3 linked regions of the Caenorhabditis elegans genome follow. The protein of the gene in region 3 purifies or fractionates together with the protein of the main gene of each other region. This does not show direct contact. Each region holds a gene or a part of one and is shown on either strand. Other genes may lie near its edges.

What was found.
Region 1: the proteins of gcsh-1 (region 3) and dpy-18 fractionate together in Caenorhabditis elegans (co-fractionation; one large-scale study listed by BioGRID). This does not show direct contact.
Region 2: the proteins of gcsh-1 (region 3) and phy-2 fractionate together in Caenorhabditis elegans (co-fractionation; one large-scale study listed by BioGRID). This does not show direct contact.

Annotation. Positions count from the first base shown.
Region 1 is NC_003281.10:11,369,958-11,381,421, forward strand, and holds dpy-18 (Prolyl 4-hydroxylase subunit alpha-1), read right to left. Parts: upstream 8,024-11,464; 5' UTR 8,023-8,023; coding exon 7,759-8,022; intron 6,181-7,758; coding exon 5,958-6,180; intron 5,913-5,957; coding exon 5,785-5,912; intron 5,098-5,784; coding exon 5,013-5,097; intron 4,949-5,012; coding exon 4,302-4,948; intron 3,569-4,301; coding exon 3,404-3,568; intron 3,256-3,403; coding exon 3,088-3,255; 3' UTR 2,929-3,087; downstream 1-2,928. Other genes in the region: tba-7 (Tubulin alpha chain), read right to left, coding at 838-1,008, 1,062-1,363, 1,602-1,818. UniProt on the Caenorhabditis elegans protein: Catalyzes the post-translational formation of 4-hydroxyproline in -Xaa-Pro-Gly- sequences in collagens and other proteins.
Region 2 is NC_003282.8:12,207,721-12,218,977, reverse strand, and holds phy-2 (Prolyl 4-hydroxylase subunit alpha-2), read left to right. Parts: upstream 1-2,990; 5' UTR 2,991-2,991; coding exon 2,992-3,069; intron 3,070-3,114; coding exon 3,115-3,200; intron 3,201-3,788; coding exon 3,789-4,206; intron 4,207-4,504; coding exon 4,505-4,726; intron 4,727-4,768; coding exon 4,769-5,011; intron 5,012-5,297; exon of another isoform or gene 5,298-5,318; intron 5,319-5,547; coding exon 5,548-5,618; intron 5,619-5,723; coding exon 5,724-5,823; intron 5,824-6,384; coding exon 6,385-6,438; intron 6,439-6,675; coding exon 6,676-6,741; intron 6,742-7,438; coding exon 7,439-7,537; intron 7,538-7,583; coding exon 7,584-7,766; 3' UTR 7,767-7,881; downstream 7,882-11,257. Other genes in the region: F35G2.3 (uncharacterized protein), read right to left, coding at 8,241-8,390, 8,437-8,721, 9,184-9,270; marb-1 (Isochorismatase domain-containing protein 1), read left to right, coding at 9,971-10,050, 10,108-10,285, 10,337-10,678. UniProt on the Caenorhabditis elegans protein: Catalyzes the post-translational formation of 4-hydroxyproline in -Xaa-Pro-Gly- sequences in collagens and other proteins.
Region 3 is NC_003284.9:14,511,264-14,518,526, reverse strand, and holds gcsh-1 (Glycine cleavage system H protein), read left to right. Parts: upstream 1-3,453; 5' UTR 3,454-3,455; coding exon 3,456-3,602; intron 3,603-3,650; coding exon 3,651-3,743; intron 3,744-4,128; coding exon 4,129-4,335; 3' UTR 4,336-4,397; downstream 4,398-7,263. Other genes in the region: D1025.10 (SCD domain-containing protein), read right to left, coding at 1-194, 857-923, 973-1,116, 1,571-1,648; fbxa-141 (DUF38 domain-containing protein), read left to right, coding at 5,617-5,696, 5,998-6,682, 6,730-6,857, 7,047-7,221.

The sequences.
Region 1 (11,464 bases), on a different chromosome or scaffold from region 3:
TTACTGTAGGGGTGCTACAAGAGTTCCGTATGGGTACTGTAGGATTGTTGCAGGGTTACTGTAGGGCTACTGTATGATTAATGTAGGGGAGCTGTAGGGTGGCTATGTCCTAGGAGGTAGGAGGACAAGGAAATAAGGCCAAATATTTATTTATGAATAAGAAGAAGGGGGGAAACAATAGTGTATATATTAAGGGATCAGTAAGGGGTGGAGGGTCCAGAAAGGATGGTAGGGGATTCTACATCTAGAACCGGTTGATGCTTGAACCATGTTATATGCACAGTATAGCGTCTTATATACCATACGTACAAATCGAATTATGCTAATGTTGGGGGCGAAGGTGGTAATGTGATGGGAACGAAGGGAATATTGTTTCCCTATGACTAATAGAAGATCAGAAATCATAATCAAAGAGCAAGCGATTTGACAGGCTATAGGGGAATCGTAGGATTACTGTAGTGGTTATGTAGTAGTAGAACTGCAATGATACTGTAGGAGTACTGTAGTGGTACTGTAGTAGTACTGCATAAGTATTGTAGTGATATAGTAGGACTACGGTAGTGGTACTGTATGAGTACTGTAGGAGTACTTTAGGGGCACTGTAGTGGTACTGTAATAGTGTTTCCGGAATACTGTATCAGTGTTGTAGGAATACTGTAGGACTGTTGTTATGATACTGTAGGGGTACTTTAGGATTACTGTAGTGGTACTGTAGGAGAACTGTTGGAGTACGGTAGGATTACTGTATTTTTCAAACGTTTTAAAAAGCTGACTTTTCGAAGGCGTCTCAGCAAAATTTTTTCAACTAAAACAAAAAAATTTGAATCCCCTCCAAACCTGAGAAATAATTCGATTCAAATTATTGTACGTTGGCCGCGAGACCCGCAAATTCCTCCGGCAGATATCATAAATCGCCTCGTTATCAACCATAAATGAGCAATCTGAGTGCTCCAAAGTGGTGTGAGTTGTCAGAATTGAGTTATAGGGCTCTACGACAGAGGTGGAGATCTAAAAAAAAAAATTTAAATTGATATTCAATTTTTAAATTAAAATAGTTTAACCTGTGGAGCCGGGTAGATCGAAAATTCGAGCTTGCTCTTTTTGCCGTACTCCGCGGAGAGTCTCTCCATAAGCATAGAGGTAAATCCACTGCCAGTACCTCCACCAAATGAATGGAACACAAAGAATCCTTGTAATCCTTCGCAGTTATTCGCGAGTCTTCTGATTCTGTCCAGAGTAGTGTCGATGATCTCTTTACCCACTGTATAGTGGCCACGGGCGTAGTTATTTGCGGCGTCCTCTTTGCCAGTGAGCATTTGCTCTGGGTGGAACAACTTTTTATAGGCTCCCGTGCGGATTTCGTCTGGAAATTGAAAAATTAGGGGAAAATTTCAACAAAAAACCTCGGAAAGACTAATCATGCTAGCACGGATATCTTCAGGACATGGGTTTGTGTCTTCATTGGTTTTGAACCAGTGACCTTCAGAGTGGCAGGCAAACACACTGCCACTCGGCCACGCGTGCATCACCGCCGGCGCTCAGTAAGTGTATACTTGAAGAGTGGGGGTTACATGAATGAAGGGTAAAGAAAAATTGCATACCGACAACAGTTGGCTCCAAATCCACAAAAATCGAGCGTGGCACGTGTCTACCGTATCCAGTGTCCGAGAAAAAAGTGCCCAGAGAGCCGGAGTTCCCGTCGGGCTCCATCGATGTCCCATCTGGGAGAATTCCGTGCTCCAAGCAGTAAAGCTCCCAGCAAGCGTTTCCGATTTGAACTCCCGCCTGCCCCACGTGGATTGAGATTACTTCTCTCATAGTTCACTGTACTGTAAAAAACTAGATTAACTATAAGTTAAAAAAAAACTAAACGATCAACAGAAATTTCGCAATAGGAATTGCAAAATTTCAAAATTTCAAAATAAAATTTTTTTAAACCTTAACTTTTTGAAAGCACATATCTCGCTAATCCTTAAAGCTAGAAAAAAAAATTGCAACATACAATTTGTAGAAAAATTTCTTATCTACATTTCCCTAGTTGACAACTTTTTGATATCTCTCATTCCTACAAAGATACAAGCATTTGTAGCAAATAACCAGTGACGCTTATGTACTACAACTTTACACGGTTGCAACTTGCCAACCACAACAGTTACTAAAAAATTGTTAACTAACAAAATATAGCAAATGAAATTTTCTACAATTTATCAGTTGACAAAATTATTCTAGCATTCATGCAAAGATACAAGCTGCCAAAAAATCTAAGCCAAAATTTCAAAATTTTGCTTAAAACGAGTTGGAATTCAATTTTTTCGAAAACGAGAATGCCAAAAAAAGGAGTTTCATATAAAGATGTTTCATAATATTTAAGCACTGATAAGAAAAAGAGCAAACAAACATAATAAAACGTTTTTGGCGGTCTGTCAATGCGAAAAAGTGATGATGAGAAAATGATAAAACTACGGAAAAAGGTAAGCAGGAGAAGAAAAATTCGGAAGTTTTCGGAAAATCAATAATATCCAGTGTGTGTGCAGCCGACACCTTACGGGTTGCTATCTAGCAGCCGACACTTAACAGGTTGGCAGCGGACATCTCAAGGGTTTTTATTCAGCAGCGGACGCTTAATAGGTTGACAGCCGACACGTTACGGATTCCTATCTAGCAGCCGACACTAAACAGTTTTGTAGCCGATACGATACATGCTCTCACTCAGCAGCCGACGCTTAAAAGGTTGGCAGCCGACCTCTTACGGTTTTTTATTTTGCAGCCGACGCTATACGGGGTTTTACTCAGCAGCCGACACTTAATAGGTTTGCAGCCGACCTCTTACAGGTTTCTATTCTGCATACGACGCTTTACAGGCTTGCAGCCATCACTTCACAGGATCCACTAGGGAATTGTCGGCTGCTTTCAAATAACATAATTAAAAAGTAAAAAATAATTTATTCACGGCAAAGAAAAAGGCAGACAACTTCATCGAAGGCAACAAGAGAAAAAAGAGAAAACATGTAAGAAACCACCCGGTAGTGTGTGGGGATAAATTATGCGGCACAAAGAAAAAAAACAGAAAACAATGAAAACCAATGCTTAGAGGGTCTCCCAGACGTCTTTGGCAAGATTTGGGGACACGTTTGGAGCATTTCTTGGCTCTGGGCCGTATCCGAGGTCGCCGACGAATCTTTCGTAGTCTGAGGATTTCAAGCCGCATGGACGACGGAACTCGTTGCCCTTCTCGTGGATCCATTTGTTGGATACCTGGAAAAACAAGTTAAAATTCGAATTCCTCATGAAATTGTGGTCCTAGAGGTGTTTTTGTGGGTTACTGTAGCTGCGAAAGTACGCAAATACCGATATAAGAAGCGACCGACATTTCGCGGGCTCCCACCAGAAACAAAAAACTAACCCATTTGATTCCGACAAGAACGGGACAGGCGGCGTGACGGGTGTCTGGGTTTCCGTCTCCTTGTTTGTACAAGTTATACCAGAAGAGAGCATCATTCTTGGTGGGCAGAATTGTAGACTTGGCCTCAGTGAAGACGGTACCTCCTCCGTGAGATGGTTGGCTCATCTGAAACAATAATAGGTTGATTTTGAGTCGGCAGCCGACACTTTGCGGGTTGTTAGCTAGCAGCAGACACTTTGCGTTTTGTTAGCTAGCAGCCAACACTAAGCGGCTTGTTAGCTAGCATCAGACACTTTGTGGGTTTAGATAACAGCCGACACTTTGCGGGTTGTTAGCTAGCAGTCAACACTTCGCGGGTTCTGAGTGGCAACCAACAAGCTACAGGCTCCTAGATGCCGACACTGCGCGGGTCGTTAGCTAGCAGCTGACACTTTGCGGGTTGTTAGCTAGCAGCAGACACTTTGCGTTTTGTTAGCTAGCAGCCAACACTAAGCGGCTTGTTAGCTAGCATCAGACACTTTGTGGATTTAGATAACAGCCGACACTTTGCGGGTTGTTAGCTAGCAGTCAACACTTCGCGGGTTCTGAGTGGCAACCAACAAGCTACAGGCTCCTAGATGCCGACACTGCGCGGGTCGTTAGCTAGCAGCTGACACTTTGCGGGGTTAGTTAGCAGCCGGCAAAAATGGATCCCTCGCTGTCGCGTGCGCTAGTGCCGGACAAGTTCAGCGATCTACCTAGCAGCTGACACTTTGCCGGGACTATATGGTAGCCGACAAAATACTGGCATCTAATTAGCAGCCGACGTTTTGCGAGTTATAAGGCAACAGCTGACACTTTGCGGGCTGTTAGCTGGCAGCCGACACTTGACGGGTTTTTGCATTTTAATATAACTCACATAGAACAACACAGTGGCAATACGATTTCCAGTTCCCAAGCTCTCAAAACTCTTCGACTCCTCCTTCTTGGCATGATCGAAATGCGGGTCATAATGTCCTCCGATTCCATAATTCGCAATCTGCAGCTCCTCAGCGGTCTCCATCTCCAAATTTGTCATATATCCGATTCGCTTGTTAACGGTCTCCACAACATCACCCTCCCACTCCTTAAGCCACGCGCTTTTAGAGATACGGTAAGTCGCTGTGACAAGCTTTCCGGTCACCGAGTCGTGGACTGTGGCTCTTGCGAGTTTTGGCTTCGCGAGCTCCTGAATCGCGGCCACCTCATCGTCGGAGATCACGTCCTTGAAGAGCACGGCTAGTGGGTTGAATCTCTTAATTTCCACCTTAATCGGAGCGTAGACAAGGAACGGACGGTCCCGCTTGTAGTAGCAGTAGAGACGGGAGATGTCCTTCTGGGACACTGGAACCTCATTTCTGCACAGAGCCTCGTACATTGTTCGTTCAGTGTTTCCTAGGACAGAGTCGGGACGGCGGTTTTGGATTGGTGGGAGGTTCTTGCGCATGTCACTTCTACGGACGCCTTCTTGCTCGAGAAGGTCCTCGTACCATTTGACATTTCCTTTGGCGCGTGGGTGAGTTGGGTCTGGAAGATTTAGATTTTACAATAGCTGAGTAGCAGCCGACATCTCGCGGTCTCAAAAACTTACTCATTTTGTAGAGCTCCTCTGTAAGCTTTAGAGCGTGCTTCAAGTTGTTCTGCTTGTACAGTGCAAACGCCAGGTATTCGAGAATCTGGAAATTAAATTTTTTGGTGAAAAAAGTTGCATTTAAAATTTCGGCTACTTTCTCATAGCTTTTTGGCGATTTACGCTTGTTTCTCCGCCGCTATTAAAGATATCAAAAATATTTCAACTATTAAAGTATCTAAAACTTAATTTTTTTATAATTTGTTAGTTGAAAACTTTTTGATAAATTCAATACCCGCAGAGTTATCCGCCTTCGAAGTCTACAGCAGCCGACAGATTGCCCCGTAAAGCGTCGGCTGCCATAACTTGCTTCAAAGCAATTAAAAAAAGTTGTTTTACACTTTATTAGTTAACATCTCTCCCGCAGCTAAACTAGGATTAAAGTTATGTTGCAGCCGACATCTTCCGGTTTTGGATTGCTTCTGGACCCGCAAGGTGTCGGCTGCCATAACTTGCTTCGACGCAAGTTTAGCAAAAAGTTGTTAATTAACAAATTGTAGAAAATTTTATTTTACACATTTTAACAATTGACAACCTTTTGATAAAATCTTTCATTGCAGAGATATGCGTGCTTTATTTTAAAATTCAAATTTTTTTGCTAAAACTCTTTATAACTCCACTAAGAAACAAGCTATAAAAAAGTTATAAACTAAAAAATAATGTAAATTTAATTCTGCACAATTCACTAGTTGTAAATATTTTTCTATCTTCCTCTCCAGCCAAGATAACTCACATCTTCCACCTCCACAGTTGGCTCCACCTCGTCGCCGAGTCTTCTCTGCGCCTCCTCCATCCACATCACAGTGTGGTAGAAGTCGTGCTCATTGTAAGCAGCACGGGCAATTTCAAAACAGTCCTTTGCTAAAATTAAAGATAAACTTAAAGTTTGTATTACTTTAAGCTTACCGGAAAATGTGTAATTTCCCTGATCCGCGTAAATCTTTCCATCGGCAAGATCCTTGGTGTCGAGGCGGTAAGTGTCTTGAAGACGGAGGAGCCCAATAGCTGCTCCACTCAAGTCATCGGCTGTTGGGTACCGTACTCCATAACTGTCATCTGTGATTGAAGAGACCACGTTTCCAGCCTTATTTGCGTTCATTTTCGACTCGATCTCCTTCCAGTCAAAGATCTGAAGATTTGTGGGGTTATAGGCCATTTAGAAATTGAGATAGACAAAAGTTGTAAACTGTAAAGTTGTAGAAAATTTTCTGTAACTGGAGCGTTTGAGAAAAAAGTTATGACAGTTATAGCATCCGACATCTCACGGATTTTCAAAAAAAGTGCGGCCAGTGAGATGTCAGCTGCAATAACACAGAAACTGGAGGCTTTACCAATAGTTGGGAGCAGCCAAAATTTTGAAAAGATTTCAACTAAACTTACTATTACTTAGTCAACAACGTTCTCTAATAAAAATTAGAGAAAAATTAAGGCAGCCGATATGTTCGGGTTTTCAAAAAACGTGGCCTGGGAGATGTCGGCTGCTCTAACTTTTTTAACTTTGAACTGGTAAAACAGTTGTCAATTACCAACATTTTGTCAGTTGACAACTTTTTTCTAAAACGCATTTGAAAGAGTTATAGCAGCCGACGCCTTACGGGCTGAAAAAAACGGCCAGTGAGATGTCGGGTGCAATAACTGGAAAACTACGGGTCTGAGTGAAAAATTGTCAACTAACAAATTTAAGTAAATGAAATTTTCTATATTTTGTCAGTTGACAACTTTTTTCTAAAATGTATGGGAAAAAAGTTATAGCAGCCGGCATCTCACGGATTTCTAAAAAGTGCAGCCAGTAAGATGGCGGCTGTAATAACAGTAAAACTACGGGACTGAGTGAAAAATCGTCAACTAACAAAATTAAGTAAATGAAATTTCCTATACTTTGCTATCATAGTTGACTACTTTTTTCTAGCGTTAAAAACAAGTCATAGCAGCCGACGCCTTACGGGCTGAAAAAAAACGGCCAGTGAGATGTCGGGTGCAATAACTGGAAAACTACGGGTCTGAGTGAAAAATTGTCAACTAACAAATTTAAGTAAATGAAATTTTCTATATTTTGTCAGTTGACAACTTTTTTCTAAAATGTATGGGAAAAAAGTTATAGCAGCCGGCATCTCACGGATTTCTAAAAAGTGCAGCCAGTAAGATGGCGGCTGTAATAACAGTAAAACTACGGGACTGAGTGAAAAATCGTCAACTAACAAAATTAAGTAAATGAAATTTCCTATACTTTGCTATCATAGTTGACTACTTTTTTCTAGCGTTAAAAACAAGTCATAGCAGCCGACGCCTTACGGGCTGAAAAAAAACGGCCAGTGAGATGTCGGGTGCAATAACTGGAAAACTACGGGTCTGAGTGAAAAATTGTCAACTAACAAATTTAAGTAAATGAAATTTTCTATATTTTGTCAGTTGACAACTTTTTTCTAAAATGTATGGGAAAAAAGTTATAGCAGCCGGCATCTCACGGATTTCTAAAAAGTGCAGCCAGTAAGATGGCGGCTGTAATAACAGTAAAACTACGGGACTGAGTGAAAAATCGTCAACTAACAAAATTAAGTAAATGAAATTTCCTATACTTTGCTATCATAGTTGACTACTTTTTTCTAGCGTTAAAAACAAGTCATAGCAGCCGACGCCTTACGGGCTGAAAAAACGGCCAGTGAGATGTCGGCTGCAATAACTTAAAACCTATTGCAAACAAAATTACCTTTCTCTTGATCAATAAAAACGCATTGATCGGATTCGTAATATCCTTGAGCCCATTTTCAATCGAAATCTCATTTTTCTTCGAGTACTCCTCCGACAGCTTCTTCAGCTGAACCAGTCGCTCTTCCTCGTCGTGAATGTATTTGTCAAGGATTTTCGGAATATTTCTTTCAGTTTCCAGAAGGTTTTGCATGTCGGCAATCGAGGTGAACAGATCGGCAACTGCATAGCCGATTGTGGCTAGTACAAGGAGTGCCAGGCGCATTCTGAAAAATTGAGAGTTAGGGAATTAAAAACCTGCAAAACGGGAAGCGGATAAAGTTTACAATAAAGATTTGACACAAACGCCAGAGAAAATTATAGCGGCGGACATCTCATGGGTTCGAAAAAAAAAAATCAAAACTGAGCAAGACCCGCAAGATGTCGGCTGCCTAAAATAGCCAAAAGACAGTGCTTACCGGAAAAAAGGAAATTTTGATTTCTTAACTTTGTCAGTTTAAAAAAGTTGTGGCAGCCTACATCTTACAGATCCGGAAACCCCGGGGATCAAATCCCGCAAGGTGTCGGCTACCACACCAGTTTTCCTCAAGAAGCATATAGCGGCCGACATCTCACAGCTTCCAAAATTCTGACCCGCTAGATGTCGTCTGCTTTAACTTACTTCTTGAACTAGCTGCTAAAAAATTGTTAATTGACCAAATATAGGAAATTTCAGGTAGCTTAAATATTAAATTAACAATAACTTTTGTGATTTCAAAGTTCTGGCATAAAACACAAAGAAAGGAAAAAATTGCAAAAGAGGAAGTTGGTTCAGCTATATAAGGCTGGTTTCTCCACGTAGACTTACAACAATTAGATGCGAAAGAAATAAGAAAACGAGACGCAGAAATGAGTAAAACTGACGTTGACTTGATGATAGTGAAAGTGTGAGATATATAGGTTCTTTGGTGTTTAGGGTTAGAGAAATATAACTCAAGCCCATAAAATGTCGGCTGCTAAAAGTTAATTTTTGAATTCGCTTTTTTTCAATTTTTATCACGAAAAACGTTTTAGAAGCATCAACCGAAAAACATTTTTTTTTTGAATTCTGAACCGTTTCCAGTTTTTCAGTTAAAACCCGCAAGACGCAAAAAATTGTGAGTTACAACTTTTGAATGTCTAACTGAAAAACTTGTAGCAGCCGAAGTCTCACGGGGTTTTCGCTAGCTCTAAAACCTATTGAAGTGTCGGCTGCCATAATTTGTTTCGCATTACACATAGAAAAATGTCTTCAACTAACAAATTGTTGTAAATTTTATTTTCTACAATTTGCTATTTACCAATCTCTTGCTATCATTGCTGCAAAGGGAGTTACAGCAGCCGACAACTCGCGGGTATTTTCTGTAAAGTTAACCCAGTGAAGTGTCGGCTGCTATATTGTTTTTATAGAAAAAGCTTTCGACCTAAAAAAAATTTGCAATACTTCTAAAGTTTCATAAATCAAAATCCATGGAAAATCTAAAGAAACGACTGTGAACTAGATTCGTCGCGAAGGTCTTCGGAAATTCACGTATTCTATTGAATCGTAAGTATTTGCAGAGAGGAAGAGAGACGCAGGCGGGAAAAAAATAATTATATAGGTTCACAAAGTTTGAATAGGAAAAAGACAAAAGGTGTCAGGTTGGGAATAATTGGGTAGTTCCAACTGAATTTGAAATGTCAAGTACTGGGCTATTTTAGAATCGCCGGAATTTGTTTAAAAAATTGCCAAAAAAATAGGGAAAAATATTCAAGTTGGTGAACTTCCGAATTCCAAAAAAAAATCCGGCGCCAAAAAATTGGATGTTATGCATGTTTTTAACAGAAAAAAGCACAATAGCAAGTGGAGCCGGAATTGCGTGACTCAAAAAAAACATTTCATTTTCTCATTTTCCCTTTTTTGGAAAAAAAATGAAGTTGCCAAGTATACGAAAAATTATCGGATCACCTAAATAAATTTGCTGGAATCCCAAAAAAAATCGGCATTCCAAACGTAACAAATTGCCGGAATTTTGAAAATTGGAAATGTTCTGGTTGCCGAAAAAGCTAGCAGTTTTTTAATTTTTCGAAATTTGGAATAACCGAAAATGTGCCTAGTTTTTTTAATAGTTTTTCAACGTTCCAATATGGCCAATGTCTCAAAAAAAAAAAAGAAATTTGTAAAATTGCCCAAATCATCAAAAATTGTTGTCAAAATTGCCGAATATGATACATTTGGAAATTTTAAAATTTGCTGAAACTTAGGAGAGCCAAAAATTCGCTAAAGTGCAAATTTTTCAAAAAAAAGGTCGTTGCCAAAATTGTGAGTAATTAAAATATGAAAAACTAGGCAAACACAAAAATTGCCAAAATTGGAAAATATCAGAAAAATTTCAAAATTGCCAAAATTCTGTATAGCTGAAAAACTGGCAAAATTCATTTTTCCCCGAAACTTACTAGTTGCCAAAATTATATAATTATAAAACTGAAAAAATCGGCGAAAAAATTTCTAAGTTACCGAAATTATAAATTTTTGAAATTTGAAAAAATAAACTGAGCGATTTCAAAAATATTTAAACACCTATCAAAACTGTCGGAATGAAATTTTAAAAAATGTAGAAAATAGGAAAAATTGCCAAACTTGCATATTTACCAAAATGGCAAACACTTTTTAAATGAAGTTGCCAAACTGAAACTGGCTATTTTTTTGAATTTTCTAAAACTATAAAAAGCTGAAAATTTACTTAAATTCATATTTATTAGAAATCAAAAAAAATCCGCTTTAAAATTGAGAAATCACGGCAATTTCAGAACTATATCTAATTTCAAAGTTACCAAATCGCTGAAAATTGGAAATTTCCCCAAATCTCACAAAGTATTCAAACTCCCAAATATTGACAATCAGTAAAAACTGCAAAACTGCAAGAAACGTAGGGAGGGAAAGAAGAATAAAAGAAAGGGTCAGTGGGACAGATTGAGTGAGTAAGGCCACCACCTCCTCCTGACGAAACGGCCAGCAGACCCTCTAGAAATAGTACAGAGAATTGAGAAACCGCAGAGACAGCTGCTGAGGAGGAAGACACGTTGGAAGTTGTGACGGGAAGATGAAGAATAGAAGAAGAAGAAGGGTCAAGACCAATAGATAATAATAACACAAAAAAGAGAAGAGATTGAAGGATTTTAAAGGAGATATCATATTTGGGAATTGGTTGCCGGGAAGACTATTTTTTACGAAACCTATAACTGTACAAAAAACCGACAACAAAAAATGTGCCATTTTGCTAGAGTTGATATGAAATTCGATAAGGAATTCAAAAAAAAAATATGGGTTCATTTCTGGACCTGGAAATTCGGTTTCAGCCGCGCTAGAAGGGTTTTTCCGTCGAATTTCAATTTCAACAGGTACTTGCGAAAAAAGGGTGGCACAAAAATTTTAAAATTTTGGGAGAATTTTCATAGTTTTGGATTCTAGATTTTTTTTAAAGATTATGTATAAGTTTCTGGAGCTACAAGTTGTATTTTGGCCGCGCTAGAGGGGTTTTTGTTTCCAATTCATTTTTCACAGGCATATACCTTGCCGAATTTACAAAAAAAAAATTTTTGGAACTTTGGAAATGTTTTCATAGATTTGGGTTCTAGATTTTTTTAAAGATTATGTATAAGTTTCTGGAGCTACAAGTTGTATTTTGGCCGCGCTAGAGGGGTTTTTG
Region 2 (11,257 bases), on a different chromosome or scaffold from region 3:
ATATCAATATGCTGATGAAGGAAATTGAAAAAGTAATTCAAATCTCTCCTGTTTTGGAAAATGGTTGGTACTTTAGCTGCCTACCTGAAAGGTTAAGATTGGGCTAGGCGCGTAGGTATAGGCTGCCTCATTGGCAGGCAGTACCAACTACGTAGGTTTGCCTAAGTCTAGATCTAAATCATTTTGAAGACTATTAAATGTTAGACTTCTTCCTATTTATTTTGTTCGCCCTGTTTTCAACGATGGAAAAATGAATTTCCAATATTTTTAATTTCAGAAACCGTATCAGTTGTAAAACAATTAATAGTTTTCTTCCGGTAATACCGGTCTCTGTCTCCTTTTCCAAATATCCTTTCATCCATCACATCCTCAGAAAGTTTTTCAATCCGCTTCTCCTCCTCCCAGTTGCCTAGTGCTTCTGGTCTTTCTCTTTCACCATCTGGCACCCGCTGATCGAGTGGTGGCGTCTCCTCATCCTCTTTCTTATTCACAAACATTACTACCAAACTGCAGCATCACAGTCACGTAGGCATCGGAATATGCACGTCGACTGCGCATCTGACACGTAGAAGTTGGAAATAAAGGAGGAAGAGAGAGACTGTGCGACAGGGTGTAAACCGTCTCGGCTTCTTCTCACGTCTGCGCCCCCATCTTATATAAAGATCTACACACTTCAGCGGCTTCGCGCCTTTTCAGCTTCCGTTTTTGGTTTTTCAGTCCGAAAAGTTGCCTTTTTTTAAGTCAAAAAGTGGCAAATCGCCAGTTATTCCTATATATATTTTCAGAAGATATCCAAAAATGTTTATTCAACAAATTTCTAACTATTCTTACACAGCTTTTATTGCATTCAAATGTCACAGTGATTTGAAAATGCAACATTTCTTCAATATTTCCAAATGTGTCGAAATTTTTATTTTAGAAATTTGGAAGTTTTCAATTGACTCATTTAATATTAGGTTAGGAAGTGTACCAAACCAAAACTTTGACTGAAACCTTTCAAAAATCGTAGAGGTGATTCAGAAAAGTTTTTAATTGTTTTATTGTGATTTTCGGTGATGTTGGACCATTACAAGTAAATTTATGCTTTTGCTAGCACACTGAAATTGTCAGGAAATTTACCGAAATTCATTTAACATTTATTTAATTTTTTCAAGACCTGAATTATCGTTTTGGAAGTGGAGCAACAAACTCCGTCTAAATCAAGATTAACTTTTGTTTTAATCAATTTAATAAATTTAATAAATAGCAAAGATCTATGAAAATATATCAAAGCTTTAGACTATAGTCTATAGCTGAAAACGCTGAAAATCAAGTTTTATCTGATTCTTTTTTTTTTCAAATTCTATGATTATTAAAGAATTTCATCATAATTTTTCTACTTTTAGCTTTTTATCTGACTTTGCAATACATGTATTGGTTAAGAAAACTCAAAACTTTGAATTCCCCCTAATTAATTTAATTAAATTGAAAACTAATTAATACCCAATTTCCTCATCAATCTCCAATTATCCTCACCTTCCCATTTTCATTCTTTTCATTTCCACGTCATCCATAAATCTTGCGCGATTCAACCTAGTTATTGGTATTGTTAATGGAGGTCAATCATCCACTGGATCGAGAAGACACCGTCCGTTCCTACGTGCAAAATCTAATTGAGAGATCGGAAACGCAGGCAATCAGGAAGTTTCTTCTTCTTCGAGAATCGCGCGACGCGGCGAAAAGACTTCCACATCACCTTAGACGGTCTGATTGCTTTTCTCTGTTTTTTTTAGCGAATCCGCTATTAATCTTGACATATATTCCAAAGTTTGAAGGTTTTATATTCTTTAGGAATGTGTACATTCTGTATTTTTAGTTAAAATCAAACTTGAAAATGTAAAAATTAAAAATCGAATGTCAGTGTATCATTTAACTTTTTTAGTCCAGGTTTTGAAATTTATAGTTCTAAAAATTCTAAGAAACCTCATTTTATCTGAAATCATCATGCTGTAAACAAGGGTTATCAATCTGTCTTGCTGTTGAAAATAATATTATTTATTCGCATTTTATCTAGTATATTTTTACCATTTTCTATTCTCTATTAACCATATTTACAGAATTTTAATAAGGCATAACCAAGTGAAATGTTTCCAAAAATCAGATGACCATACAGTTTTGGAACACTATGAACCTAAAAATTGAATAATTTTTTTAAAGTTTTGTATAAAAAGCTTGAAACGCATTTTGAACACATACATTTTCCACAAAAAAATACTGAGTTCATCTATATCTCTGTAGTGGTAATCTATAAAAGATTGAGATCTAAGGTGACCTCAGATATCCTTTTATATTTATTTGGTCTTTGAGGCACTAATCAAAACTGGAAGAGATAGTTTTTTGCGGTTTCATCTAGATTTATTCCTTCATATTTTAGAACTCTTGGAATTAAATTATTCTGAAAAAAAAAACCATTTTTTGAAGCTCCAGAGATAAGGAAAAAAGGATCACACAATAAATCACGTAGGCCTTTATGTAGGTACATACTTGTCTACCTGCCTACAAGGCGACGGACGTGCCTACTGGCAAAATGGGAATGAACTTTTCCCATATAGACAGGCGGTGTCTGGCCTAACTCTATCCTGCCTCCAGACAAGGTTGACAGGTGAATGCTAAACTCTATTATTCTTTGTCTATTCTTCTTTTTCATAAATATATTCATATAAATGTGTCACACAATGCAACTTTTGTTTATAAACTTCAACATCCGTTCCACGTACACCTCCCTCTTCATCATCATCCCCCCTCAAATTGTAAAAATATACAAAAAGTGCTGGTGCAGACGGCTGCTCTCTACACTTCTCATCTGCTGTGTTCATCTTTTTCTCGTAGTCTCTCACTCTCTCGCCACCGATTTTGACCTCGAACATGTCAGTTGTGCACTGATTTTGACCCCCTATTTCTCACGTTCTACAGCTTTTCAAATTTCGGAAACAAATCGATTTGTCTTTCAGAATGAGAGCAGTTTTGCTAGTCTGCCTTTTGGCAGGACTTGCTCATGCAGATTTGTTCACTGCAATTGCTGATTTGCAGGTGAGTAGTTAATCTATGATTATGTAATTAAGTTAGAGATTTCAGCATATGCTGGGAGCAGAGAAGGATGTAACAACAATCATCGACCAATATATCGAAGCAGAGAGAGCCAGGCTGGATGACTTGAGGAGGTGAGTACTGTAGAACTGCAAAATTGAGTAGGTTCCAGGGATAGAATGCCGTTTAGTAACCGAATTGTAGATTATAACAAAATTTCCAATTCTCAGAATCTAGAATTAAAATTTTCTGATTTTCATGTGTTGGGAGAAAATAAAGTTATGTTTCTTCAACAGATGAAAACATTTGCTACAGTAAAAATTAGTTTTTTGCTGATTGTTGAGTTTTTGATTCAAAATTGATTGAACTCCATATTTATCAAATGTCCCCTCTGGTAGGTTCGAAATATAGGTTTTTTTTTAAATTTTTGATAAAAAGTCTTCCACGTGGGCACATCTTACGCCTGTCTATTGCCTACACGATTACCGATTGACAAAGTACACAAAATCTATTGAACTTTTAACAAGTTATTTTTGATTAGACAGTCCGCAAGGGCCACCAAAACGCCACAAAAAATTCTTAAATTTCTAAATTGTACACACACCAAGAATAAAAATGTTCGCCAATACCAAGAAATACGTGATATCATGAAAGTCTCACTTTAACAAAAACTAAACATTTTCGGACATCAAGGTGACTCAAATAAACAAATCATTTTACAGATACGCTCACGAATACGTGCACCGAAACGCTCACGCCGAATCAGTTGGTCCAGAATTTGTGACGAACCCAATCAATGCTTATCTTCTCATCAAAAGATTAACAACCGAATGGAAGAAAGTCGAAAATATAATGTTGAATAACAAAGCTTCAACTTTCCTCAAGAACATCACTGATAACCGAGTTCGTAGTGAGGTCAAATTCCCAGGAGAAGAGGATTTGAGTGGAGCAGCAACTGCTCTTCTGAGACTCCAGGATACTTACAGTCTTGATACTCTTGATTTGTCAAATGGTATTATTGGAGGAGAAAAGGTTTCTAATAAGCTTTCTGGACATGATACTTTTGAAGTTGGAAGATCTGCATATAACCAGAAGGATTATTATCATTGCTTGATGTGGATGCAGGTTGCGTTGGTTAAGGTAAGCCTGGTTTAGAAAATACGGCTTTCAAGCCGAACCTAAAACCAAAAAATATGAGCACTTAAACGCGTAGGCAGGCACGCAGGAAGCGAAAAGCATTTTCAACTCCATTTATTCGTATAAAAAGTAAGTTTTTTGCTGCTTGAGATTTGTAATTATGCACCACTACGAGAACTATCATATTAACGGTGGTTTCTTTGTACTTACTCAATTTTTTGATTGATGATCTATCGTACCTTAAGCTGGACTTTTTCCATAGCAAAATTCCAACAACAAATCCTAATCAAACATTTTCCAGATCGAAAACGAGAACCCACCAACAATTGAGGAATGGGAAATTCTCGAGTATCTTGCATATTCTCTTTACCAACAAGGAAATGTTCGTCGTGCACTTTCTCTCACCAAACGACTCGCAAAAATTGCTCCAAATCACCCGAGAGCCAAAGGAAATGTGAAATGGTATGAGGACATGCTTCAAGGAAAGGATATGGTTGGAGATTTGCCACCAATTGTTAACAAGGTTTTTTGCTTAGTATTTTATAATTTAAATTTTTGTTTGCAGAGAGTTGAGTACGATGGAATTGTTGAGAGAGATGCATATGAAGCTTTGTGTCGGGGAGAGATTCCACCAGTTGAGCCAAAATGGAAGAACAAGCTGAGATGTTATCTGAAGAGAGACAAGCCATTCCTGAAGCTTGCTCCAATCAAGGTCGAGATTCTTAGATTCGATCCATTGGCTGTTCTTTTCAAGAATGTCATTCATGATTCTGAAATCGAGGTTATCAAGGAGTTGGCTTCTCCAAAGGTGCGAAAATTAGATTATTCGATAGTTAAGTTAGAAATAAAGTACGGTGAATGGGGATTTTGTTTTAAAATACAAAAAGAAACTGAAATTCCAAAATACCACCAAAATATGGCAAAAATCGAGAAATTGCTAGATTTCAAATGTGACTAATATTTTCATTCGAATTCCAAACATCATCCAAAATGAGAACCCCCTTGAAAAATAATGTTGTTCAAATATCGATTTTTGTGTGGTATTTCTGAAATTCTGACTATTTTGGGTATTTTAGTACAATCTTCCCACTCACGCAACTATACCTTTCAGTACAATACTGAAACTAGAAATTGTATAATTTTAAGCTAGAACGTGCTACAGTAAAGGATTCTGATGGTAGCCTGGTTACTGTAGACTATCGAATTGCCAAGAGGTGAAAGGTATTAAACGTTTAACTGTACAGTAACATGCTGTGAACTTAGAAAATTAGATATTTGACTTACTGATTTCTTTTTCAACTTCTATTCTTTCTCCTTTGTTGCCTGAAGTGTGTTATTTTTTAGCTGAAGCGAGCAACTGTCCAAAATTCGAAAACTGGCGAGCTGGAACATGCCACGTACCGTATCTCAAAAAGGTTTGTGCTTAAGTTTTTTGGAACGGTTTTGTTTGATTTATTTTGAGTTGAAAGATTAACTAAATCAAGTTGATTATCAAATTTCTTGAATCAAAAATGTTTCAGTGCTTGGTTGAAGGGAGATTTGGATCCAGTTATTGATAGAGTCAACAGAAGAATTGAAGATTTCACCAATTTGAACCAGGCTACTTCAGAGGAGCTTCAGGTAAGCAAGAGCCCTGCAACATGGCTAAGGCCTTTAAGAAGGCACATAAATGCCTGCGTACCTGCCTCATGCCTTTATGATAGGCGTTAGATAGGCAGGCAGGCAGGTACGTGCTTGCCGACTTTGTGTTGAAACGGAAATGCGCACTATAGTTATATATTTTCCTTGTGAAATCCTCTCGGGCAATGAATTTACATTATTTTTTCGAAAGTTGCCAGTTTCTCGTAATTTTGAGAAAATGTAAAATGGGGATTAAATTATTTCATAGACTTTCTTGATAAACTTTTAATTTTCAAAGACAAAACTCGAAGAATTCTTGAAATTCTAAAAATCGAAAAATCGTTTAAAATTTCCATTTTTAGATATTTTCGTTTTTTTACAAAAAATTGAAAATTCCTTGTGTCCATTTTTGAGTTTTCTAGGCTAGTCACATCAGCAAAAAGGTCTAAAATGCCTTCAATGCCTACAGCCTAGAATATAGGCATTAGAGGATTCCCCAAGTTTTACTAAAAATATTAATTAAAGTTTATAATATTTTCAACAAAATTGTTGCTGTTTCAGGTAGCTAACTACGGTCTTGGAGGTCACTACGACCCACATTTCGACTTTGCCCGGGTAATAACAATTTTCAATTCTTTTTTATAATTTCAGATTGCAAATTACGGTCTCGGTGGTCACTATGAACCACATTACGACATGTCACTGGTTGGTTTACTGCCTTCCTGCTGACTTGTCTTGCTGCTAATTTTCAGAGAAAAACTGCCGAATCGTACGGTGGAAATGGTAATCGTATTGCCACTGTGTTATTCTATGTGAGTTTTCGATTCAATTTTAATTTTCCGTATTTTATAGAAAGAAGAGAAGAATGCATTCAAGACGCTCAATACTGGAAACCGAATTGCGACTGTTTTATTCTATGTGAGACATGTTTCATTTATAATTAATGGTTAATAAGATTCCATCACGAACTTTTTATTTGCATGAAAATTCTTTAGCTGTTATTGCATGAGGTGTGCTAATCCAAAAGTATGTGATGGAATCTTAACGTTTGAACTTTTAAATTTGTGATTTTAGCGCGTGGGAGCTGTGAGAAAACGGAAAATTTTTAAGGGGTCTTAAAATTTTACTGTTGATATTTAAAAATGAGGTTTTATAGTTTTTTGGCTCTATCGAACAATTTTTATTATTTAATCTAATAATTATCTTCTTTTTATGATTGTTTAGCTGAAACTGATGTATTTTCTAATGCCTACTTCTGGAAATTCGATAAATTCGAAACTGAAAATAACAATATCAAAATTTACTTTAAACTCAAAGAGCAAAAATCGTTCAAAATATAGTCAAACATTCACTCTCAAGATTTTGATTTTTTTGAAATTTTCAAACTTATTGGGTTCATAATTTTTACAAATAAATAGATGAAAAAATAGTAATATTTGAAAAGTTTACAAACTGATGTTTATATCCTTTTGGTACTGACCTAAATTACGAGAAAAGTGTGTGTGACGTCACATTTTACAGACGCGAAAACCCGACAGTTACTGTAGATCAAACACATTGTCAGATAACTAGAACGAACCCTCTGTTTCTCCTTGAACCAAACAATTTTTTTCAGATGAGTCAACCAGAACGCGGAGGAGCAACCGTCTTCAATCATCTTGGAACTGCTGTATTCCCATCGAAAAATGATGCTCTCTTCTGGTATAATCTTAGAGTAAGTGTTCATTTCTATTTTTCCTCGCAATTTGGAAATATTTCAGAGAGATGGAGAAGGAGATCTTCGTACCCGTCATGCTGCTTGTCCAGTTCTTCTAGGAGTTAAATGGGTCTCAAATAAATGGATTCACGAGAAAGGACAAGAATTCACAAGACCATGTGGATTGGAGGAGGAAGTTCAGGAGAACTTTATTGGAGATTTGTCCCCATATGCCAATGATCCATAGATTTGATTTTTTACTCTCTTTTTTGTTTTTTTTTTTAATTTCATTGTTGCTTACTGGTGTTTCACGGTTCCAATATTTTATTTGATCGCCAAAAAATGAAAGTGTTCTGGTTTTAAAGAATGAGTTTTTGATATTCTGAAATCTAAATTCAAAGCTGTTTATGCCTGCTTCATGCCTGCCTACATCAAACCTACATCAAACCAAGATTATAGTCATGTCTACTTCATGACTATAATCTTGCCTATCTATGTTCCTACCTATTCAAAATATAGTCCAACATTTAAAAATCCTGTGAAAAAATCACGGTTGTGGCTTGGATTAAAAATGATTCGATTCAAATCAGCATAAATATCTCCCTACGTGCCTGCCTGCCAACAACTCTAACAAACATGTAATTGTACCTGATACATACAGTTTTTCCTTGCCATACTTTATTAAGTTAATCAAAAATTATTTCAAAATTATATGGACAAATTAAATATTATTAACTTTAAAAAGACTTTTAATTTTATTATTTTCCTTATTTTCTTCTTCACTTCCTTGCAACGCACTCTTTAAGTCATTCTGGAAATTTGTTTTGTTGAACTCGATCTCGAATTTAAGCAGTTCAATCATTTCGTTTTTCTGAAATTATAGTTTTAAAATTTAATTCCATGTAAGAAATCCGAACCTCTTTAATAATCTTTCTGGCTTGTACCAAATCATCAACCAACTCATTTGCATCTTCCTCCGCAAATTCCAATGATTCCAGTTTTTGGCTCAATTCCTTTATCACCTCGTTTCGCTCTTTCAGTTTTCTCTGAAGTCCACCAATTTTTGCCACAAAATCTCTTTGATGCATTCGAATTTTGATTAAATGATTGCTGATTTTACTTCTCTCTATTTTCATCTCCTTCTGGTGCTCTTTAATCATTTCCTCACTAGACTCGCACATTAATTTTAGTTGGTAATGAGCCTGCAAACGTTGTATATAAAAAAGAATGTCAAGATGCCTGCCTACATGCCTGCCTACCACCTAGCTCTATACATTTTGGCATGCATTCAGGAATTTAGTGAACCTCTAGAAAGTAAAACTGGGAAAATTTCCAAAGAAAATTTAGTTAATTTTCACCAAATTTTCGAAAGTTTTTTTTTTTAAAGTCAAACATTTTCCAATAAAATATTTCGCATTTTTTTCAAAAAAAACACATTTTCCCAAAAAAAATTCGATCCGTTCTACTGTCTATTTTAAAATTTAATAAATCTTCTCAGCTTTAAACACCTCTTAATTTTTTATGAGGGGCTCCAATAAATAGCTTGAGGGGAACACGATTATTGGAATTTACTTTTGAAATTGAGAAATTTTCAGACTCTCGAGAATTTCATTGATAATGCTAATAAAATATTCAAAAATATAAAAAAAAACAACAAAATTTACCTTTGCCTTTTCCTCAACTATTTGCAACATTAACAGAGCTACAGTAACCGCGTACAGTAACCCGAATAGAATCGGGAAATTATCCATTGAAAGTGTCATATTCCCGTCTTGAAAGATATTAGTTAACCACGACATTATAAAATAAAAAGATTGTCTTATAAGATAAGTAACAAACGAATGAATGAGCCGGTCGTCTTAGTCAACGGGTCAAGTGTTTCAGCCGCGTTCGTGAATCAATAAGAGCTGGAATTGCCTCCTGGCATTAGTGACTGTAGTCCACACTTTCTACTGCCTAAATTATCCATACAGGGCAATGTGATCAATTGATCAATAGGTTATTAAATATAACTATTTTATGCAGTGCAGTGTTTCATCCTTTTGGGAAAATTCACGGAATCAACAGGTGAATTTATGTTTTTTAGGGTGTGAACACAAATTGTTAATGTTATAATTGTCCTGGAGAGCCTTTAAACATTTTACAATTAATATATTATAAATAATACGTAGAAAATCAGTATTTGAACAGGAAAGTAGACATTTTAAAAATTTGAAATTTGAAAAACCGCCACAAACTCAAGCAACGACACTCCGAGATTACGAATCGCGCGTTGTTTACCGTAAATTTACACTAATTTTTGTTCTCTGAAATTTTTTTTTAATTGAAAAGCCGTCCATTTATTTATCTTTTTTTGTCAAATCCTTGTGTTTTACGTGGATGTTTGCATTTGTTTTTTATTTATTTAATTTCGAATCACTCAACTTTTTATTGATTTCTGTTCCTCAGGTGATGGCTGCGCGTAAGCTGATCGCACGTATCAACCCAACGAACAGTGCTCTTTTCGTCTGTGATCTTCAAGAGAAGTTCGCGTAAGTTTTGAAAGAAACTAGTTTATGAGCAAAAATAATTTATTTAATTATTTTCAGGTCAAATATCAAATACTTCCCAGAAATCATTACAACTTCGCGTAGATTGATCGATGCTGCCAGAATCCTGAGTATTCCAACCATTGTTACTGAACAATATCCAAAGGGTCTCGGACACACAGTTCCAACTCTCAAAGAAGGTCTCGCCGAGAATACTCCGATCTTTGATAAGACGAAAGTAGATTTTCAGATTTTTGTTCATAATTCAGTCTTATTCCAAAAATTTCAGTTTTCCATGTGCATTCCTCCAACTGAAGACACTTTGAAGAAAGTTCAAAATGTGATCCTTGTCGGAATCGAAGCACACGTATGCGTTCTTCAAACTACATACGATCTTTTGGAACGTGGCTTGAACGTTCATGTCGTGGTGGACGCTGTCAGCAGCCGCAGTCACACTGATCGTCATTTCGCTTTCAAACAGATGGAACAAGCTGGAGCTATCTTGACAACTTCTGAAGCTACCATTCTCGGACTTGTCGGTGGATCGGATCATCCAAAGTTCAAGGAAGTTCAGAAGTTGATCCTTACTTCAGCCCCTGATACTGGCCTCGTCCCGTTGTCGAAGCTCTAAATGTTTTCCGTTTACGGCTTCTTTTTTTGCCATGTAGATTTGTGTTTAGTACCTCACTATGTGTAATTACAGCATTTAACCGGTTTTCGTCCCATAAATTATGGTGGTAATTTGAGTCTTTTTGCAAAACGTTTCTTTCATCGCATCTCCTTGCCACCGTTTGACCATCACATCATGTTTCAAAAGTGTGGGTAAACATTCCGAAATTCGCGGAAACGAAATGCGCTTTGAAAATTTCAAGTGGCTCACACAGTAGAGCCCGCTAGTCCATTGACCTCCAATGTTTGTAGTTTGCGAAAATGATGGTGACGATGGTGCAAAGAAAACTTTCAGTTTTTTTTTTCAGAAAAGTCAGGTTTGTACAACACACATGCCACCACGTGGCAATGAAAAAGGCAGAGGCAACAAATAAATTGGAAGCAGAGACAATAAAATGGGTGGGTGATCTGATCTGTTGTGACGAACAAAATGATGATGATTGGATTCGCGAGCTGTTGATGAAATATGCAGAAATGAATCGAGAAAAAGAGAAGAAAAATACCCAAATATTCAAACAGACAGACGAAAAAAATGTTTTCC
Region 3 (7,263 bases):
GACTTTGTCAAAAATCTTCATATACTTTGGCATTCCGTTGATCAAGTCTTTTGGCGGAGTTACTTCTCTCACTTCTTCAACTTTTTCTTTAATTTCTTCAACTTCTTCCTCATCTTCTTCTACTTCTTCTACTACTTCTTCTTGGCCTTCTTCTGCTTCGCCTTCTTCTTCTTCTTCCACTTCTTGGTTGATTTCTGCAACAAAAGCATGAAATACATTTTTTTTTTCAGAATTGTTTAATAGTTTCAAGAACTTTGATAAACTTATTGGCAAATCACAGTACACTTTTAATATTTAATTTTTGATTCTGACTTGTTATGGTTTTTTCTAAATCAGAGACCGTCTTTATGACCCAGAAAATGCACAACTATATAAGTCTTCCACGAGGGCGGTACTCTCGCCTGCACCACACCACGCCCCACACGCTCCACACCATAGCTTCGCTGACATTTTTCGTAGTCACGCAGCTATAGCGACGCGCGGACCTGCGCAGCGTCGGCCGCAGTACACAGAGCGGTTTCGGGCGGACGTGGTGTACACTATTCACGCCCCGCCTTCGTGGAAGGCCTATGTAAAATAATTTTAAAAACGCGGAAATAGTTGAGTTCGGGGAAACCTGATGTAAAAAACTCAAAATAATCCGAATTGAGCCACATTAAATTCACAGTTTTTGAGTTTTATACTCGCATTTTTTCTAACTCAACCATTTTTTTTTTGTTTTTTCTTTGTTATGCATTATCAGGAAAAAGGAAAATTTTAGATTAAAATCCCCACAAGTGGCATTTCAAAAATTTCAATAAATTTTCATTGTTAGAGAAATATGTTTCCTTCCAACAATTTTTTGTCAAGTGCTCACCTTCCATCACATCAGCCATTGACTCATCAGAGCTCACATCAATTACTTCCGGAGTAGGAGTATCTTCCTGAAATGGTCAAAGTTACAAAAAAAATCATTTTCAGGCTACTTCTTACATCGTCAGTTAGTTCTTCATCCATGTCTGACCTCCAATTTGAACGAGAATTATTTGGCGTACTGGGCTCACGCTCAGGTACTTCTGGCTCCTTCATTTTGCTTTGTGAGCTGAAGCTGCTGGTTTGTGCGCTGTCGAGTTTCACCTAAAAGTTGTTGTTTTTATTGGAAAGATTGGTGGGGCACGGGTGGCTAAGTGGTAGTGGTGTAGCACTGTCACTCAAGAGGTCGCAAGTTCAATCCCACCTCACCCCAAAAGCTCACCCAGCTTCGGAAAGTGGGTAGTGAATTTGTTTCACGAAAGGTAAATCGGCCATACCGCTTGTCCTGGTGCGGCTTAAATTTAGACTAGAAGCGATATAAACGCTACCAGTAACCCTAACAAATCTCTTCTCCGTAGGAGATTTTGCCTTACCTTTGAAACAAACGAACAACCTTTACCTTTACCTTAAGTGTATTTTTCTCAAAAACAACAAGTTTTGCAAATGCAAAATATTTTCATAAACAGTTTTTGATATATCTATACATATCATCATATCTAATATTCAAACTGATACCATCCGAAAGAAATTTCCTATAACTTTTCAAACAAATACTCACTTTTTTCGCCATTTCCAAACTTTCGTCGTCACCACTTACTTGCGGCTCCATTTGGTCCAGTCCTCGCTTCTTGCTCATGATGGCTGTAATTGACGCCCTGCAAATCAAAATGTTGAAGGTTTTCTTATGGATAATCAGAGAAACAAGATTAAAGAACAAAATGCAAACAATAGTGAAACATTTGCAAAAAGAAAAAAATCAATAGAGGTAAGAAGAATGTCAAATGAGAACCGATAAGAGATAGGCATATTGACAGACAGATTGTCCAAATGAGGGATGATTGAAAATTGATTCTCTTTTCAATTAGTTTGAATTATTTTGGTCGATAAGTGCAAATAGTTGAGCATTGCAGAGCTGATAAGAGCTCTGAGAAAGCAGCTTAAAAGTTTTAACCATTTTTTTCCAAATTTTCAAATCTTAATAATTCCAAAAGCTCAAATCAATACTCGCTCTCATAGATGTCAGAAAGCAGAGCATAATTCTAGAACAAAAGGCGAGAGATAAACAGAGCAAAGAAGAAAACGCATGCGATTGTTTCCATGGCACTACGAGGACGTCATGAGAGTGGGAAGATTGAATTTGGTTGGCCTAGTCAAAAGCTTCAATTTCTTCTATAAAATTTTTAGGGATGAAGAATAAAAAAATAAAATAAAAACAAGAAAAAACCGTATAAAAAACAAAAATCCAATGGGAGAATGCAAGAAAGATGGAAGATAAGATGCAGACTGACAAAGAGAAATAGTGCAGAAATGTGTAATGTGGTGGAAGACTATCGATTAGATTTGGACGAAGAAAAAGGGAGCTGGGAGCGGATTAGTGAGAACTAATCCCGTTTGGATTTCATGACATTGACTTGCTCTTTTAGTTCTCTGCTTCTAAAAACGAGTAAAGGATTAAGATATGGGAATCAATTTTTCAAAGATGGTTGGAGCCAAATTTAATTAATTATTTTGAAAAAGAACATAGTTGCAGAACTGGTAGTGGGATAATCGTTTAGCATCACGCTAATGATTCCAAAAAATTAAATATTCAAGTTTTTATATTATTTTTTAGACTTTGAAATTATTTTTCCTAAGACTGAAATACAACAAAAAGTCGCGTTTTTTTTTTCGGAAGAATGAAAACATTTTGGGGTACAGCTGCAACGTATTATCAAAAAAATACGATCGCAAATTTTTCTCATAATTTATTTTTGATCTACCTTGTAGACAAGGCTCCTGCCCTTCCTTCGATGAGATAGCCACAACAAAAATAACAAGGGGCGCTACTCTTGCCCGTCCGCCTCACACCACGCCTCACGCTCCCGCCGCCATCGCCCTTCTCTGTTGCACACAGCTATAGTGGCGCGAGGTACCGCGTAGCGTCGGCAGCATAGGGGATGTATATGGTCCTGCGGTGGACTTGCTTGTGAGTTCACATTTCTTCCACATTTCACCACAGGCAAATTACCTGATTACTCATTTTCGAAAAGTCAATTTTTGCACAAATTGGCAATTCGTCGAAAAACCGCTAAAAAATTTTAGACCAAACAATAATTTTTGAAAACTTTCCATTTTTGTTACTGCGATTGCCCTACAACGTCGAGACATGAAAACAACAAAATGTTAACATATTCTATAAAACTTTTTGGTTTTTTGCACTCAGGTCGCCCCATCTTATTTCTAATCGCCGAAAAAAGTACAACAATCACGCCTCAATCATCTTATCTCATTTGTAGTTCTTCTCTTGTTTTATTATCTTTTTGCAAGGACTGTCTTCGCGTTGCCATTTTATTCAACTGCAACAGAGTGCAGCGTTGTCATTGAACCTAGACAAATACTTAATTTTCGATAGCATCTTTTCAGTTTTAAAATGTTTTTATTGATTTTTTTTTTCAATTTAAGAAATGAGTTTCCTGAGCCGCTTCATCCCAACAGTAACTGCACGCACCGCTATTCGATTTGCATCTAATGGAAGGCTCTACACTAAAAAACACGAATGGATCGTGGTAAATCAATCTGTTGGAACCGTCGGAATCACTGATTTTGCTACGGTTTGTCCTTAATTTTTAAAGTTAAAAAATAAGAGCCCTGTTGTTCAGGAACAGCTGGGAGATGTGGTATTTATTGAGCTCCCGGAGGCTGGTGTGGAAATTGAGAAGGGAGATTCTACAGGAGCGGTGGAGAGTGTCAAGGTAAGACTTAAAAATTGTTTCCTCCTAAAATAAAATTATATGAAAAAATATGAAAAGTCCACCTATTTTTTGCGTGCTCCTTATATAATTCAAGGTTTTAAAAATTGGAAATCATTGACGTATACACATTCAATAATAGGTATCTTACTATGCAATTATGATTCGCGAAGCTCGGAAAAACAAAAATGACTAATTAACGTATGAAATCTCCACTAGTCATTTGGTTGACTCATTAACTTCTTTTTGATATATGAAGTTTATCTGACATGAATAATCATCAGTCTAGATATAGCTGAAGTAAGAATGTACTTTTGTTAATTAGAAAAATATTTCATTATTTTCATTACTTACTATGTCTACCTCTAACATAAGCCTTTACTTCCAGGCAGCTTCTGACATTTACGCTCCAGTGAGTGGGAAGATTTTGGAAAAAAATACGAAACTTGAAGATGAGCCGGGAATTATCAACAAAAGCCCACTGGAGAAGGGTTGGCTTTACAGACTTGAAATTACCAGCAACGAACAGCTCAACGAACTATTAACTGAGGAGCAATATAACAAGTTCAAGAGTGAAGAAGAGGCCGAGCACTAAATTGTTTTTTGTTGAAAGTTTTGACCTATTTTTTTGATACAGGTGTCACATAGGCAACTAATACATTTTTTTTTTTTTTAATTCTTATCACAGCATGTATTCAGTTCGCACTGGAAATGCAGTCTGCAGCAACGATAAGGTTTTGCGACAGCGACAGGTAGCAAAGATTTAGTTGGTTTTTTTTTCCAAAAAAATACATGTCGTCAATTCAAACTTAAAGCTATTCAACCAAAAAACGGAAAATTGTTTCGGCAATAATGAAAAACTTACGGGTTTCAAGTCATTTATCGATTTTCCGGCCAGGAATGTCTGCAATCTGTTTCAGCCCAATTCTTCGACTTTATATTTGCTGCTGTATTAGATCTAGTTGGAAATAATTGTCAAGTGAAGTAATATTTAGTGTTATCTTAACGTTTTTAGAGCCTCTTTTCTTAAAAAATTGGAAAAATGGGCCTAAATTATGCAAAATCTCTGCAACATCCACACATGTTAGTCCCGATGTGTGCAAACACAGTGACGCTCTTTTGCGTCCATCCCAGCACATTTCACGACTAATTGACCAAATCTATTGATTATCTATAGAATGTGCTTAAAAAAACAAGGAACTATCTTTTTTCCAGATAATATTTAGAAAAAATAAAGAAACAGTCGCCAAGAAAATTGTAGCAAAACATTCAGGAATTGTGTAGCTAAAGAACAAACTTATAAAAACTTAACTATTGAATTTTACAAATAATTTAGGTTTCGAATATTGAAAGAAACATACATAGATTCAAAGAAAATTTGTATACTTTTTGATTAAACTAAAAGCATCTTTGACGTATTATACGGCACTTAATAAATAGTGATATGTCTCTCTCTTTTTATATAAATTCTAACAATATTTTATTTCTCGAGTTTGTCAATAAAATTCGCAGGTCATTCATTGTTTATTTAAAAAAAAACAATATCTGGTTGCATTTCGCCATTAAACGTACATAGAATAACACTTTTTTTCACAAATTCAATAGTTTTTGTTGAAGTTTCAATTTTTCTGAACTTTTGATATTTGATTTTGAAACTTGTCAACGTTTTATTGCAGTCTTATCGTCATGTTTGTGCATAATTGGAAACGCCTATTTAAACAAATTCTCTATGGAAAATGTGTTCAAACGTAAATTCTAAACTAGGTGCATCGATTTGTTCTCAAAAGGTCTATTGTTTCATTTTTCTAGTTTCTTGCTTTGTTGATGTTGTATTATATTTTTTGTGAAAATTTGAAGTTTCAAATAAATTTTTCAGATGACGTCACATTCTGCGTGGCACAATCTTCCCCTGCAATTTAGAAAAGGTGTTATTGAAATTTTGGATTATAAGACCAGGTAATGATTTCCTTGCGCATATCAATGTTTTATTCTTGATGAGTTAAGTTTTTTTAATAGCTTAATAAAAATGTTTAACGTCAGCCATTTAATATTACAATGAAAGTTGATAAATCAAAAAGATAAATAAATATAATAACTGATTTCTATTTACAATAATTAAACTTTTTTCACACGTAAAATTTATATTTCCTAAGCCTAACTATCTGAATTTGAAAATACTCCTGACGTTTTTATCTAAAACTTGAAAATATGGGGTTATAATACGCAAGGACCTAAATATATGTATAAAAAATTTCAGATGTCAACTACGGAAATGCTCACGGAAAGATAAGAACCTTGTAGACATTGTTCCTATTCGAAGCAAATGGCTGTCAATGTCAGTTTATAATCGTTCGATCACTTTGCAATTGGAACGCATGAAGATTGAATATTTCAATTTTGACCCAAAAGAGAATAACATTTTACGGACTGAATATACGGAGAAAGCTGGTGAATATCCTGTCAAAAAGGAAATAGATAGAATTGTGCATGGTGATTTGGATCTGGTTGTTATGGATATTCTTCTACTCCTTGCCCATGAAAACTCTTTTCTCGACAATTTAGTTCTGCAATACGCTGAAGGAATCAATCCTGAAAGAATGCAACTTTTGAATCAAACATTGTTTAGTCAAATTAAGACTCTTGATCCCAAATGGAAAATCAGAACATCAAGTTTTTATATCAGTTTTGTCACGACCGGAGAGAAAATATTGGAGTACATTGGACTCCTAAGTTTTGAACATCTGAATCATATCAGAATAAAAAATACGAATTTCAACCAAGAACAGTTGGAACAATTCGTTGCTATGGACCAATGGAAGCATGCAAAGTCGATGTTCTTAGAGGATCTCAATGATATTTCAGTGGCTCAGTTCTCTCACTTTGAAACATTCTGGACAAATGTAACAAGATTGGAACCAGTTGATGCCTGGAATGTAATAAAGGTAAATCATGTGCAAATATTTTTACTAGTTAATAGTGTTTATTTCAGAGTTACATCAAACGGAATTCACCTCGCGGAGCATTTTTCCATGTAGGAACTGCAAATCCAATCGAGCCAAGTCAGATATCAGATCTGTTCGACGTGGAAGTGAAAAATGAGCCAATTGATACTCCTTGGTAAGTAGTTTTACTGAAACTTGCTTGAATCTACATAGAATTTTTAATATCATTCAGATTGGTTTACGGTTTTTTTTTCTTTCAAAAGAAAATGCACTAAGTTTCAAGCATAAAAATATTCCCTAAATTCAGTGTTTTCTGAAAAAATCGCTCTCCGATCAAAATCCAACGTAATTTATTTATTTGCAGGCCATCATCCCAAGTGTTGCACACCCAAAAGTTCTGTCTGCCATCTGAAGACCACGTGCTCATTGTGCTTATTCTAAACAATGTGCTCACCGGAAGAATATGTCATCTAAACCATCTAGCCGAAGATTGTAATCAATTGTATAACGACTATTTTGAAGAATATTCTCAGCAATGAGCATTTTATTTTTCTGAATAATTTTGATTAACTAATAAAGTT